3 linked regions of the Canis lupus familiaris genome follow. The protein of the gene in region 1 purifies or fractionates together with the protein of each later gene. This does not show direct contact. Links are inferred from orthologs where the notes say so. Each region holds a gene or a part of one and is shown in the gene's direction. Other genes may lie near its edges.

What was found.
Region 2: the proteins of NUP133 (region 1) and AHCTF1 purify together in Homo sapiens (affinity purification with western blotting; 3 studies listed by BioGRID, with this or other methods). This does not show direct contact. The link is inferred for Canis lupus familiaris from reciprocal best matches to the Homo sapiens genes NUP133 and AHCTF1.
Region 3: the proteins of NUP133 (region 1) and SEH1L purify together in Homo sapiens (affinity purification with mass spectrometry; 4 studies listed by BioGRID and IntAct, with this or other methods). This does not show direct contact. The link is inferred for Canis lupus familiaris from reciprocal best matches to the Homo sapiens genes NUP133 and SEH1L.

Annotation. Positions count from the first base shown.
Region 1 is NC_049225.1:10,159,310-10,162,964, forward strand, and holds part of NUP133 (nuclear pore complex protein Nup133), read left to right. Parts: intron 1-506; coding exon 507-614; intron 615-2,195; coding exon 2,196-2,330; intron 2,331-3,303; coding exon 3,304-3,474; intron 3,475-3,655. UniProt on the Homo sapiens protein: Involved in poly(A)+ RNA transport. Involved in nephrogenesis.
Region 2 is NC_049228.1:37,519,049-37,522,703, reverse strand, and holds part of AHCTF1 (protein ELYS), read left to right. Parts: intron 1-1,546; coding exon 1,547-1,724; intron 1,725-3,270; coding exon 3,271-3,474; intron 3,475-3,655. UniProt on the Homo sapiens protein: Required for the assembly of a functional nuclear pore complex (NPC) on the surface of chromosomes as nuclei form at the end of mitosis. May initiate NPC assembly by binding to chromatin and recruiting the Nup107-160 subcomplex of the NPC.
Region 3 is NC_049228.1:78,453,408-78,457,062, forward strand, and holds part of SEH1L (nucleoporin SEH1), read left to right. Parts: intron 1-3,420; coding exon 3,421-3,632; intron 3,633-3,655. UniProt on the Homo sapiens protein: Component of the Nup107-160 subcomplex of the nuclear pore complex (NPC). The Nup107-160 subcomplex is required for the assembly of a functional NPC.

The DNA of each region.
Region 1 (3,655 bases):
TCTGTACTGCTACTACATAGAAAATAATATTTGTGAGCATAGGAAAGGGAGACAGATGTTCTGGGTGCTGTGATGAGTTAGCAGAAGGAACCTGATACCTGGCTGAGGCTAAGAAATATTTTCTAGACAACTTGGTATAATTAATTGCTCTGTGGTAATGCTGATGTTAGTTGTCAAACAAATCAAGACTAGCCTAGGAAAATTCCATACGTATTTTTCTTAACCAATAGACTTTATTTAGTCCAGAAAAACATTGGAGTAGTTGATATTCAGGGACTAGTCTAGCTTTTAAGTTTTCCTAATCCTATATCTGTTAAAAAACTTTGTTTTGAAATTACCGAAAGCCTGATCAAAAAGATGTGAGAAGAAAGAATATTTGTAGAATGGTATTTCCAGCAGTGAGTCAGAATCTAAAACATGCAAGGAAAAAAAATAGTGAAGTCAGGTGCATATTTTAAAAAATTCGATTGATGTGAAAGATTTTTTTGTTTGGGTTTCTTCTTTAGTTATCTGTTTGCAAAGAACTTCAACTGCCACCTAGTGACTTCGACTGGAGTGCTGACTTGGTGGCTCTCTCTTACTCTGATAACTCAGGTGAAACACAATCTACTCAGGTAGGTGACTTAAATGCTTATTGATACGCATTTTTTTTAAATAAAGAAGTTCTACTATTAGAGGAATCATCCAACCTGATTTAGAGACATAATGATAAAGCCACAGGAATCAAGACTTGTATTGGCAAAGGGACATATAAGGGCATTTGAACAGAATAGAGACTACAGATACAGAGTGGCCCTTTGATCTTTGACAGCTGCAACAATTATTCAATGGAGTAAGGATGGTCTTTTCAGTAAATGGTGTTGGGACCATTGGGCATCCTTATGCAAAGAAAAAGAGAGAAAGGAAGAACTACTCCCTAAATCTCCTACTTTATATAAAGATTAACTCAAAATGGATCATAGGTTTAGATGTAAAACATAAAACTATAAAAACTTTTAGAAGAAAACAGGAAAAAAAATCATCATAATCTGGGGTTAGACAAAGAGTTCTTGGAAATCACCGAAAGCATGATTCATTTTAAAAAATGGATAAATTGGACCTCATCAAAATTTAAAAATTGGCTCTGTCAAACACAGTGACAAGAAAAAGAGACAAGCTACAGCCTGGAGGAGAATATTCTTAAGTCCTATGGCCATCAAAGGACTTGTATCTCAAATGCAAAATGAACTCTCAAGGCTTATTAAGAAAACAACTGAATTTAAAAACAGGGCATAGGACTTGAACAGACACCAAGGGTGTCACAGAGGTGTTCATGTCATTAGCTATTAGGGAAATGTAAATTGAAACAATAGTGAGATATCATAATACATCTCTTAAAATGGCTAAAATACAAAATACTGACACTACGAAGTATTCCCAAGGATATGGGGCAACTGGAATTCATACATTCCTGATGAGAATGCAAAATGGTATAGCTACTGGATTTTCACACTTGCTGTTATGACCCAGCAATTCCCTTCCTGGCTGTTTACCTTATAGAAGTTAAAACTTATATTTACACAAAAAACAGTGTATGAATGTCATGGCAGCTTTTTATTTGTGATAGCCAAAGGTGGAAACAACCCAAGTGTCCTTTAACAAGTGAATGAATAAACAAACAGGGTTCATCCATAGAATGGAATTCTACTCAGCAGTGAAAAGGAATGAACTCTTGATAACAGTAACAATCTGGATGGATCTCAAGACATGCTGAAGTAAGATAAGCTGGTGCTTAAAGGTTACATTCTATATGATTTCATTTGCTTGACATTCTCAGAAAGATGGAACACTAATGATGGAAACAGTGGTTGTCAGGGTTAGGATGAGGGAAAGATGTGATTATTAAGAGAGAGCACCAGGAAGTTTGGGGTGTTGACAGAATTGTGCTGTGTCCCTATATTGGTGGTAGTTACGTGGGTCTGTACATGTGTTAAAATTTGTAGAACTAAAAAAAAAAAATTTTTTTTGTAGAACTGCACAACAAAAGAAAGTAAATTTTATAGTCTGATAATTTTTAAAATATAAAAAGGAGGGGTTTTGTCCCCCCTAATTTTTGTTAAATAGTAAATTGCCCTGGTTTCTTTTTATTGGTGTCACCAGACTCCTAGTTTCAGGGTCTTTTTTATTGTGATTACTGACTGTTATATTGTTTCAAGGCTGTTGCTGTCATGGTTGCCACCAGAGAAGGAGCCATCCGCTATTGGCCAAGCCTTGCCGGTGAAGATATCTACACAGAGACCTTCGTAGATTTGGGAGGTGATAAGACTTACAGTTTCCTAACAGCAGTGCAGGTATACAATGAGTATTCTTTTATATTTATTGGAAAGCTGTGTTTTGGCTTGGGAGTGAGATGTAAACGACTAAAAATTGTTTTGAATAGACCGTACAGGCCAGAGGGGGATCAAAAAGAGGTGAGAAGAATGAAAGGGTCTAGGATTTCAATAGGTGGACAAAAGAAAGCCCTTCTCCTAGGACTCTGAAATACCAATATTGGATCATGGCCAGTGGTATTCATTTCTTTCAGAAATTTTCAGACAGTGACTTAGGAACCCTTAAATGGTATGAAGAATAGTTTACTAATGTCCACTCTGCAAGTTTGCCAACAATAAAGTGTGATACTCGATTTGTTGAACCTGCAGTATGGTGAACCTGTTTAAGGATCAGAATTAAGAAAACATGCAGTTGGGACTCCTGGGTGGCTCAGTGGTTGAGCATCTGTCTTTGGCTCAGGTTGTGATCCCGAAGCCCTGGGATCAAGTAGCAAATCAGGCTCCCCATGGGGAGTCTGCTTCTCCTTCTGCCTGTCTCTGCCTCTCTATGTCTCATGGATAAATCTTTTTTTAAAAAAAGAAAAATATGTGATTAAAAAAACAATTATAACTGAAGTTTTTCTTTTTCTTTTTTTATTTTAAAGATTTTATTTATTCATTCTCGAGAGACATAGAGAGGCAGAGGGAGAAGCAGGCTCAGGCAGGAAGCCCCATGCGGGACTTGATTCCAGGTCTTCAGGATCACACTCTGCGCTGAAGGCAGACACAACTGCTGAGCCATCCAGACATCCCTGAAGTTTTTCTGTGTAGAGTTAATATCATGTGAGTGGATTCATAATTAAATCATTTTAGTAAAATGACACTTAAAATTCTTTTTAGATTTGTTTTAAGGTATAGATGATAGATGATTTGTTTCTATGATCAAAGCATTTTGTGTTAATGTTCTTTATCTCAGTTGTAGATGCATAACTGCTTTCACAATATTTGTTCATAGGGAGGAAGTTTTATTTTGTCCTCATTGGGAAGCCAGCTGGTTCGGCTGATACCTGATAGTTTAGGAAAGATTCATCAACATATCCTACCTCAAGGACAAGGCATGCTTTCAGGAATTGGTCGGAAGGTTTCTTCTCTTTTGGGAATTTTATCTCCAAGTAGTGATCTCATCGTAAGTTGATAAAAATAATTTTGTTTTACAAGCTTGTTTCTTAGTGAAATCAGTAAGTTGGAAGTTTCCTATGATGTTGATATTGCCTCCGTATGAACACTAGTGTATATGAAATAGAATCTTTGATTTTTTTCAGGGAAGCATGTTTTGATCAAATGAGTTCGTATTAACCAAACCCTTT
Region 2 (3,655 bases), on another chromosome or scaffold:
CAGTGGGCACTGCACATAGTAAGGCTACATGCTGTTTTGTGCAATTTATGTTTTGTGTACATGTATGATCTGAAATGGATTACTAATGTGTGTCATGCTCAAAGATTTGTGGAAATCCTAAAACCTAATGCATGCATGCAATGATAATTGTTTTAGTGTAATTTAAATATATTAAGTCTCATTAGTAGAAGGATTTTGTTTTAACTCAGTAGGTACCTTTGCTGGACGGGCCCTGCTTTTGAAAAGCAATCGTTATAAATGAACACTTTGGAGATAAATATTAGCACAGTGCAAGGCACTTAACAAAATACCTACATGGGCTAATTCAGTATAAAAGTGAGCAGATGGTTTATAAATACAAATGAGATAGAGAAGGAAAAGAATTAGAACCAACAATAGAGAGAAATGTCTAATGGCCCGATTGGGTTTTTTTTTTTTAAGATTTTATTTATTCATGAGAGAGACAGAGAGAGAGGCAGAGACACAGGCAGAGGGAGAAGCAGGCTCCATGCAGGGAACCTGACATGGGACTCGATCCCGGGTCTCCAGGATCACGCCTTGGGCTGAAGGCCCTAAAGCGCTAAGCCACCAGGGCTGCCCCCAATTGGATATTTTTGATTTGGTGGAAGTCTCAAAGCTGTGCCTAGTATAGAATAACAAGCAGTTAAGGATTAAGGAAATGGTTTCTGTAAATATTTCCCACTGGGAACAGGTTGGGTCTTAAAGCACACATCTGTGATCTGCGTTCATCTGCTATCCCAGGTGTGAAATCTTATTTGAATGTAGAGGACAAAAGGACAAGAAAGGCACAGCAGTGGGGACCAGAACAGGCTGTACCTTTCTGGTATTCTCACCTGGGCCAGAGAGTCATTTTGAGGAAGTAAAAATATATTGTTTTTATTATAGAGAATGTAACCATAAAATAGACTATTTATTAGGAAATTGGGAAAGGAGTGACCTATGCAAATGATCCATCAAAAATTATAACCTGAAAATTTCACCTTTGAATTTAAATTCCTTATCTGTTAAGTTTTTAAACTATTGGGACTATGCATGCTTAATATAATTTATCAATGAGATTAGTTTCATCATTTGTATAAACTACATCTAGGACATTACAGAAAACCATTCAGAATGTGTAGGCTCCATTTTGTCATTGACCTCATTAGTTTCAAAAACTTCTGTGTGTTGGAGTTCAGTCTTCTATTTCAATAGAAACCATAAAGGTAAAGCAAACCACATTCATTATGTACTTCACATGTAGATAAAAGGAATTTTTACATGTTCGTAAAAATGAGCTATAGCAAATGACTTTATCAGTGAATATTGGTAGAAGGGAAGGTGGAGGACTACAGCATTTGTTGTTGCCTAGAATTCCTAATTTTCATTAATATCCTTGACTGAATTTACAATTTCATGTGGTTACCATATTTACCAGCGGATATAGAAGTCAAATTACATGGCATAATGAGTTTTTTGTTTTTTTTTTTTTTACCATGCCTCAGTAAATTAGTTACCCAGATCTCTCTTTGTCCTGTGATTACAGACCACTGGATTTGGTCGTTCATCCTGTGCACCAGCCTTGTCAGCGTTTGGGATTTATTCAGCAAACGCCCAAAAGATCTCCTTTATACCTAGCATCCAGTTCATTGTTCAAAGGATCACCTCACAGTCCCTCCAGTACGCTAGAATTACGTGTACTTGAAACTCCTTTTGTAGTGAAGGTGAGTATTTCATACCTTGCATTCATAGTGAAGCTAGGGGATTGAAAAGTCAAGCAGCAAGGCAAAATAAGCTAGCTCTAACTAATGTCTCTGGGGAGTTGACAGCTTTAGGCCTTCTTTGGAGGTGTTACCTTTCCAAAATATTGATTGTATTTTTACATCTTCTTAAGTAGGACTTTATTACTAAGTTTACCTGTAGTGCTAACCTGAGGTTGTACTCAAGGTTAACAATTATCTTGTGTTCTGAGAGTAACCCAGATCTCTGGTTATTACTGGTTGAAACCTTAAATTAAAACCTCTGAAAAAAGCATTCACGTTCTTGAGTTGCTCCACCACCATCACACACGCACCACCACCACCACCAATTTCTTCTCCCATGCTGCTGTTTCTTCCTTCTTATGTCAGATGCTTTTAGTTCTCAGATTTCTTTTTATTTATTCTCTCCTTTGATGAAACTGCACTGTTACTCCTTCTTCCTAGCAGTTTATCTGTCTTAAATTCCTTTTCCTTCACCATCTCTGATAAACTATTAAATGGGAAACCACAAAACTAGACTTGTGGTGGCAGGGAGTGGGCACCTTTTCCCCATCCTGTTGTCAGAATGGTTTCAATCTGTTGTGTGCTGGCAACTTATCCAGTGTTCTGGATGGAGTTCTGGAAGCACTCCACCTTCATTTCTTTCCATTGTTTCTGGATAGTCAGTGTGGAGACTGAAGCCAGGGGATTCTTACTTTTCAAAGTGATTAAAAGATAGTTCAACAAATGTCAGTCCTAAAATAATTACTAAAAGAAGGTTGAGGAGCTTATTAAAATACCTGATATTTACTCTCCAGGGCTGTGATTCCTGTTTTCATCCTTTTAAAAAAATCACATTTTATATTCTCTAAATCAAGGAGTAATTTTGTGCCTGCCACCAGAAACAATCTAGAAAAAACATGAGTATAATATTGAAATGTATCTAGTGGGTTACAGCCATCTGCTTTAGGGGAGAAGTGAAGTGAAGGAATGGTTGCTGCTGAACAGTGTCTATGCTGATTATTTTTATTAATTGATAAATCCTCAGGATTCTCATAAGTAATCAGTTATTGTTGGATTCCTGTGATGAGATGATATTTTTTATGACATTCTTAAAGTCAGGCTCATCATTTTGTATTAACTTGCTCTAATTAAGCTCAATTCTTTTCTATACGCACTGTCCTATCTCTTCACCTGACTTAAGTTTTATAGGCATCCACTCAATAATTTCTCTCTGTACTCTCTTTTTCCTCTTAAGTTGAACTTAAACTGAGAATAAGCAAGACCTTTATTTATTTTTTTTTTAAGCAAGACCTTTAGAATGGACATAGTTTTAGGTTTTGTAACCTTAGGTATAGAAATGTCTGAGTAGAATTTTGTATTTTCTTTCCAGTAATTGGTAATGAAACTTTATGTTGGTATGTTTATTGGAGATGAGTATACAGGTAGCCTTGTGACTCAGTTTACTCCATCTATCCTCACGTAAGCGGTGTTTACAAACACTGGTGGTGGCCTTCATTATTTGTTGCAGAGAGCTAAGACTTTGGCCATGTCGGTTACTTCCTCTGGATTTGCCGAGTTCACTCCTCAGTCCATCTTAAGGTCTGGTCTCCGAACACCGCCTTTACCATCTCCCTCTCTGTCACCTGGAAGGTCTGTCACCCCTCCATTACGGCTTAAGGAAACTAGAATTTCATTCATGGAAGAAGACATGGCCTCCAAACAGACTGCTGGAGTAAGTTTGATAATAGTTGAAACAAATGAAGACTGTATTAGTTTTTACAAGTAAAAGGTAAGATAAATAAATCTTTTTTTGAGAGGAGGATGAGCAGGAAGAGGGGCAGAAGGAGAAGAACCAGACTCCCCACTGAGCAGGGAGCCTGACATGGAGCTTGATCCCAGGACTCTGAGATCAT
Region 3 (3,655 bases), on another chromosome or scaffold:
TATTTCTGGGTAAATAGTGTCAGAATTGAGTTGAATTCTTGGACAGCCTGCTATTCGAGAATTATTTGTTGGGGGGGGATATGCCCTCTCCTTCATCCCCTGAATTGGTATTGGGACCAGAATCCTTTACTTTTTTAGGGAAATGTCTGTTCAAATCCTTTGCCTATTTTAAAAATTTGGGTGGGTTCTTTTTTTTTTTTTTTTTTTTTTTACTGTTGAATTGTAGTTCTTTATATTCTGGATATTAGTACTTTCTCAGGTATATGATTTGCAAATATTTTCTCCCATTCTCTCTTGACTGTGTCCTTTGATGCACAAAATTTAAAAATTGTCATGAAGTCCAATTTATTTTTTTCTTGTTTCCTGTGTTTTTGGTGTCATATTCAAGAAATCATGGCCAAATCCAATGTCATAAAGACTTCCCCCAAAGTTTTATATTGAGAACTAAAATTTTAGTTCTTACTTTAAGGTCTTTTGTTCATTTTTACTTAACTTTTGTATATGGTGTAAGTTAAATGTGCAACTTTTTTTTTTTAATTTTTATTTATTTATGATAGTCACATACAGAGAGAGAGAGAGAGAGAGGCAGAGACACAGGCAGAGGGAGAAGCAGGCTCCATGCACCAGGAGCCTGACGTGGGATTCGATCCCGGGTCTCCAGGATCGCGCCCTGGGCCAAAGGCAGGCGCCAAACCGCTGCGCCACCCAGGGATCCCAAATGTGCAACTTTTTTTAAAGTATTCTCTACCCGCCAAGTGGGCCGAAACTCATGACCTTGAGATCGAGTCACAGTCTACCAATTGAGCGAGCCAGGAGCCTCCAACTTTATTCTTTTGTATGTTAATACCTAGTTTTCCCATTATCTTTTATTGGAATGACTGCTGTAGGTAGAGATTGCTTTTAGACCATAGGCTTGAGCAATGGAATGTAAAGCAAGGCAAAAGGGCCCACTTAAAATCCCTTGCTGAATACAAACAGGCCCAGAGAGGCCACTTACCTGAAAATATCCACAGGCCCTAACTAACCAATGGGCTACTTAAAACCAAGTCAGTTACCCAACAAAGAAGGATTCCAAATGTCTCCAAACCTCCTTCGCCTTCCTTAAATGCAGCTCCCACCCACTGCAGCTGAGCAGGCAACCTCTACTTTGCTATCCTGCCCCCCACATCTACCTCCTTTGTTCCGGCTCTGGTGAATCCTTTTACTGCCTGTGCCTTAGACTGCCACCCAGTCGGTTTACCCCACGTTTGGGGGCTCCCACCCAATTGGGAGAGATGCCACCGGTTCCCCTTTGAATGGTCTTGGCATCATCATTGAAAATCAATTGACCATATATAGAGAGAAGGTTTATTTCTGGACTATATTCTCTTCCATTGGTCTATGTCTCTTAATGCCGTTATCATACTCTTTTTAATTAGGTTTATAGTTTGCATGCTGTTCACAGTTTTACAAAGTTTTTTAAAGATTCATTTTAGTAATCTCTACACCAAACTTGGGGCTTGAAGTCATGGCCCCTGAGATCAAGAGTCCACAGCCACATGCCCCTACAATTTTTTATTATTGGGTGGGATTGGTCTCATTGCCTTCTCTCACACCTCCCTAAGGCAAACAGCTGCTTGAGGGGAGGGGAGAAGAGAAACGGATGTATTGGAGGGATTTTTCTTTTAAAGGTTTTATTTACTCATGAGAGATAGAGGCAGAGACCTAGGCCGAGGGAGAAGCAGGCTCCCTGCGGGGAGCCCAATGTAGAAGTCTGTACCAGAACCCCAGGATCACACCCTGAGCCAAAGGCAGACACTCAACCACTGAGCCACCCAGGTGTCCCTGAAGGGATTTTTCTAATAGAGGTGAGTCAGTTAGTATACTGTAGGTTGGGTTGAGGAGTAGTGGCATATAAAGGCTTTTTATTTGAACTTAAACGTTAAAGATTTCCCCCATTATATAAAACAGCATTCTTAGGACAACTTGCATAAGCTGAAATGGCATAAAGTAGAGAATCAGTTATCACTAACTTAACGGAAATATTTTTGAGTATTCCCGAGCCAAAAAATAACCTCTTTTAGGCTTTTCTGATGCCTTAGGACCCACTTTGCTAATGTTTGCACTACATAAATCAAGATAAAGCATAGATGCTCAAAGACTCCGTTCAAAGTTATTGAGGCTTGATGCTGAGATGCTGTGTGTTCCCATGGAAGGAGCTAGGCAGGGCCAGCATTGCATATAAGGGTGTGTGCTGCCTCTATAATGACTTGGAAAACGAATAATGCATGCTATTTTCATTTGTTACAAAAGCAAAAATCCTCTTCAGATTTCTTTTGGTTAGGAAAGGTACTAAAGTAGGTTTTTTTGTAAAATGCAAAGTGGTATAACATACACCTTTGAAAGCCGGAGGATATCTGCATATTTATTTGTATTTAGTTAAATCAACTGTCATTAATACATTTAATAGTTCAGCTATTGTATTGATCTTGATTATTCATTGGTGTTTATAGGCAAAAGTTTGCAAGGATGTGATCTTTGGAGTTTATGTGATATTCTTTTAGTATTGAGACTCCTTCAAATGTTATTTTAGTATCTATAGACAGTAAAATGTTGATTTCTATGTTTTGTTGGTATTTTCTGTCAGAAGTCTAGATGCCAGAAAGTGGCTTGTAGATGCTCTGTTGGCTTTCTGTAACTATCACAATGCCAGCTTCGTGCCATTCTCTTGGTCTCCAATAAACACCTTTTCTTGTGAGTTAGATGGTAGGGATCTAAGTAGGGCTAACTAGCATTTATGCTTGAAGGAACAAGTTACATGCTTTCCATTTTACTGCTAAAGAATCTTAATTCCTTTAATTTACTGCTTGCAACATACTTTGTAAGACAAAAACCACTTAAGTGAAAATTTGAACATTTTTCTAGTTTAGTGACTGGTCAGCTCAAGGGAGAGTACTTACTCTTAATCAAGTTACACTTCTTTTTTTTTATTTTTTTTTATTTTTTATTTTTTTATTATTTATTTATGATAGTCACACAGAGAGAGAGAGAGAGAGAGGCAGAGACATAGGCAGAGGGAGAAGCAGGCTCCATGTACCGGGAGCCCGATGTGGGATTCGATCCCGGGTCTCAGGATCGCGCCCTGGGTCAAAGGCAGGCGCTAAACCGCAGCGCCACCCAGGGATCCCCAATCAAGTTACACTTCTAAGGCCAACTTTTTTTCTACCTTAAAAGGAATAATTTGTTTATAGGTCACTAATTTGTTACGGATTGCGACTTGTGTATGTGGTATTTTGCTGTGGAGGAAATTGAGACCTAGGTGGTTTTTAAATAACTTATTCAAGGTTATATACCAAGTAAAATAGCAGTGTAATTCCAGTGTTCTTCCCACTGTATCGTCCTTTCTTTTTGTATATAAATCATCTTTTTCCGCCCCCCCAGGTTAAAAGGACAACTCTAGTGGATAGCAGAACATCTGTTACCGATGTGAAATTTGCTCCTAAGCATATGGGTCTTATGTTAGCAACCTGTTCAGCAGATGGTATTGTAAGAATATATGAAGCGCCAGATGTTATGAATCTCAGCCAGTGGTCTCTGCAACATGAGATTTCATGTAAGCTAAGCTGTAGTTGTATTTCTTGGAACCCTTCAAGGTAAGCTTACCCAGCAAACCTGA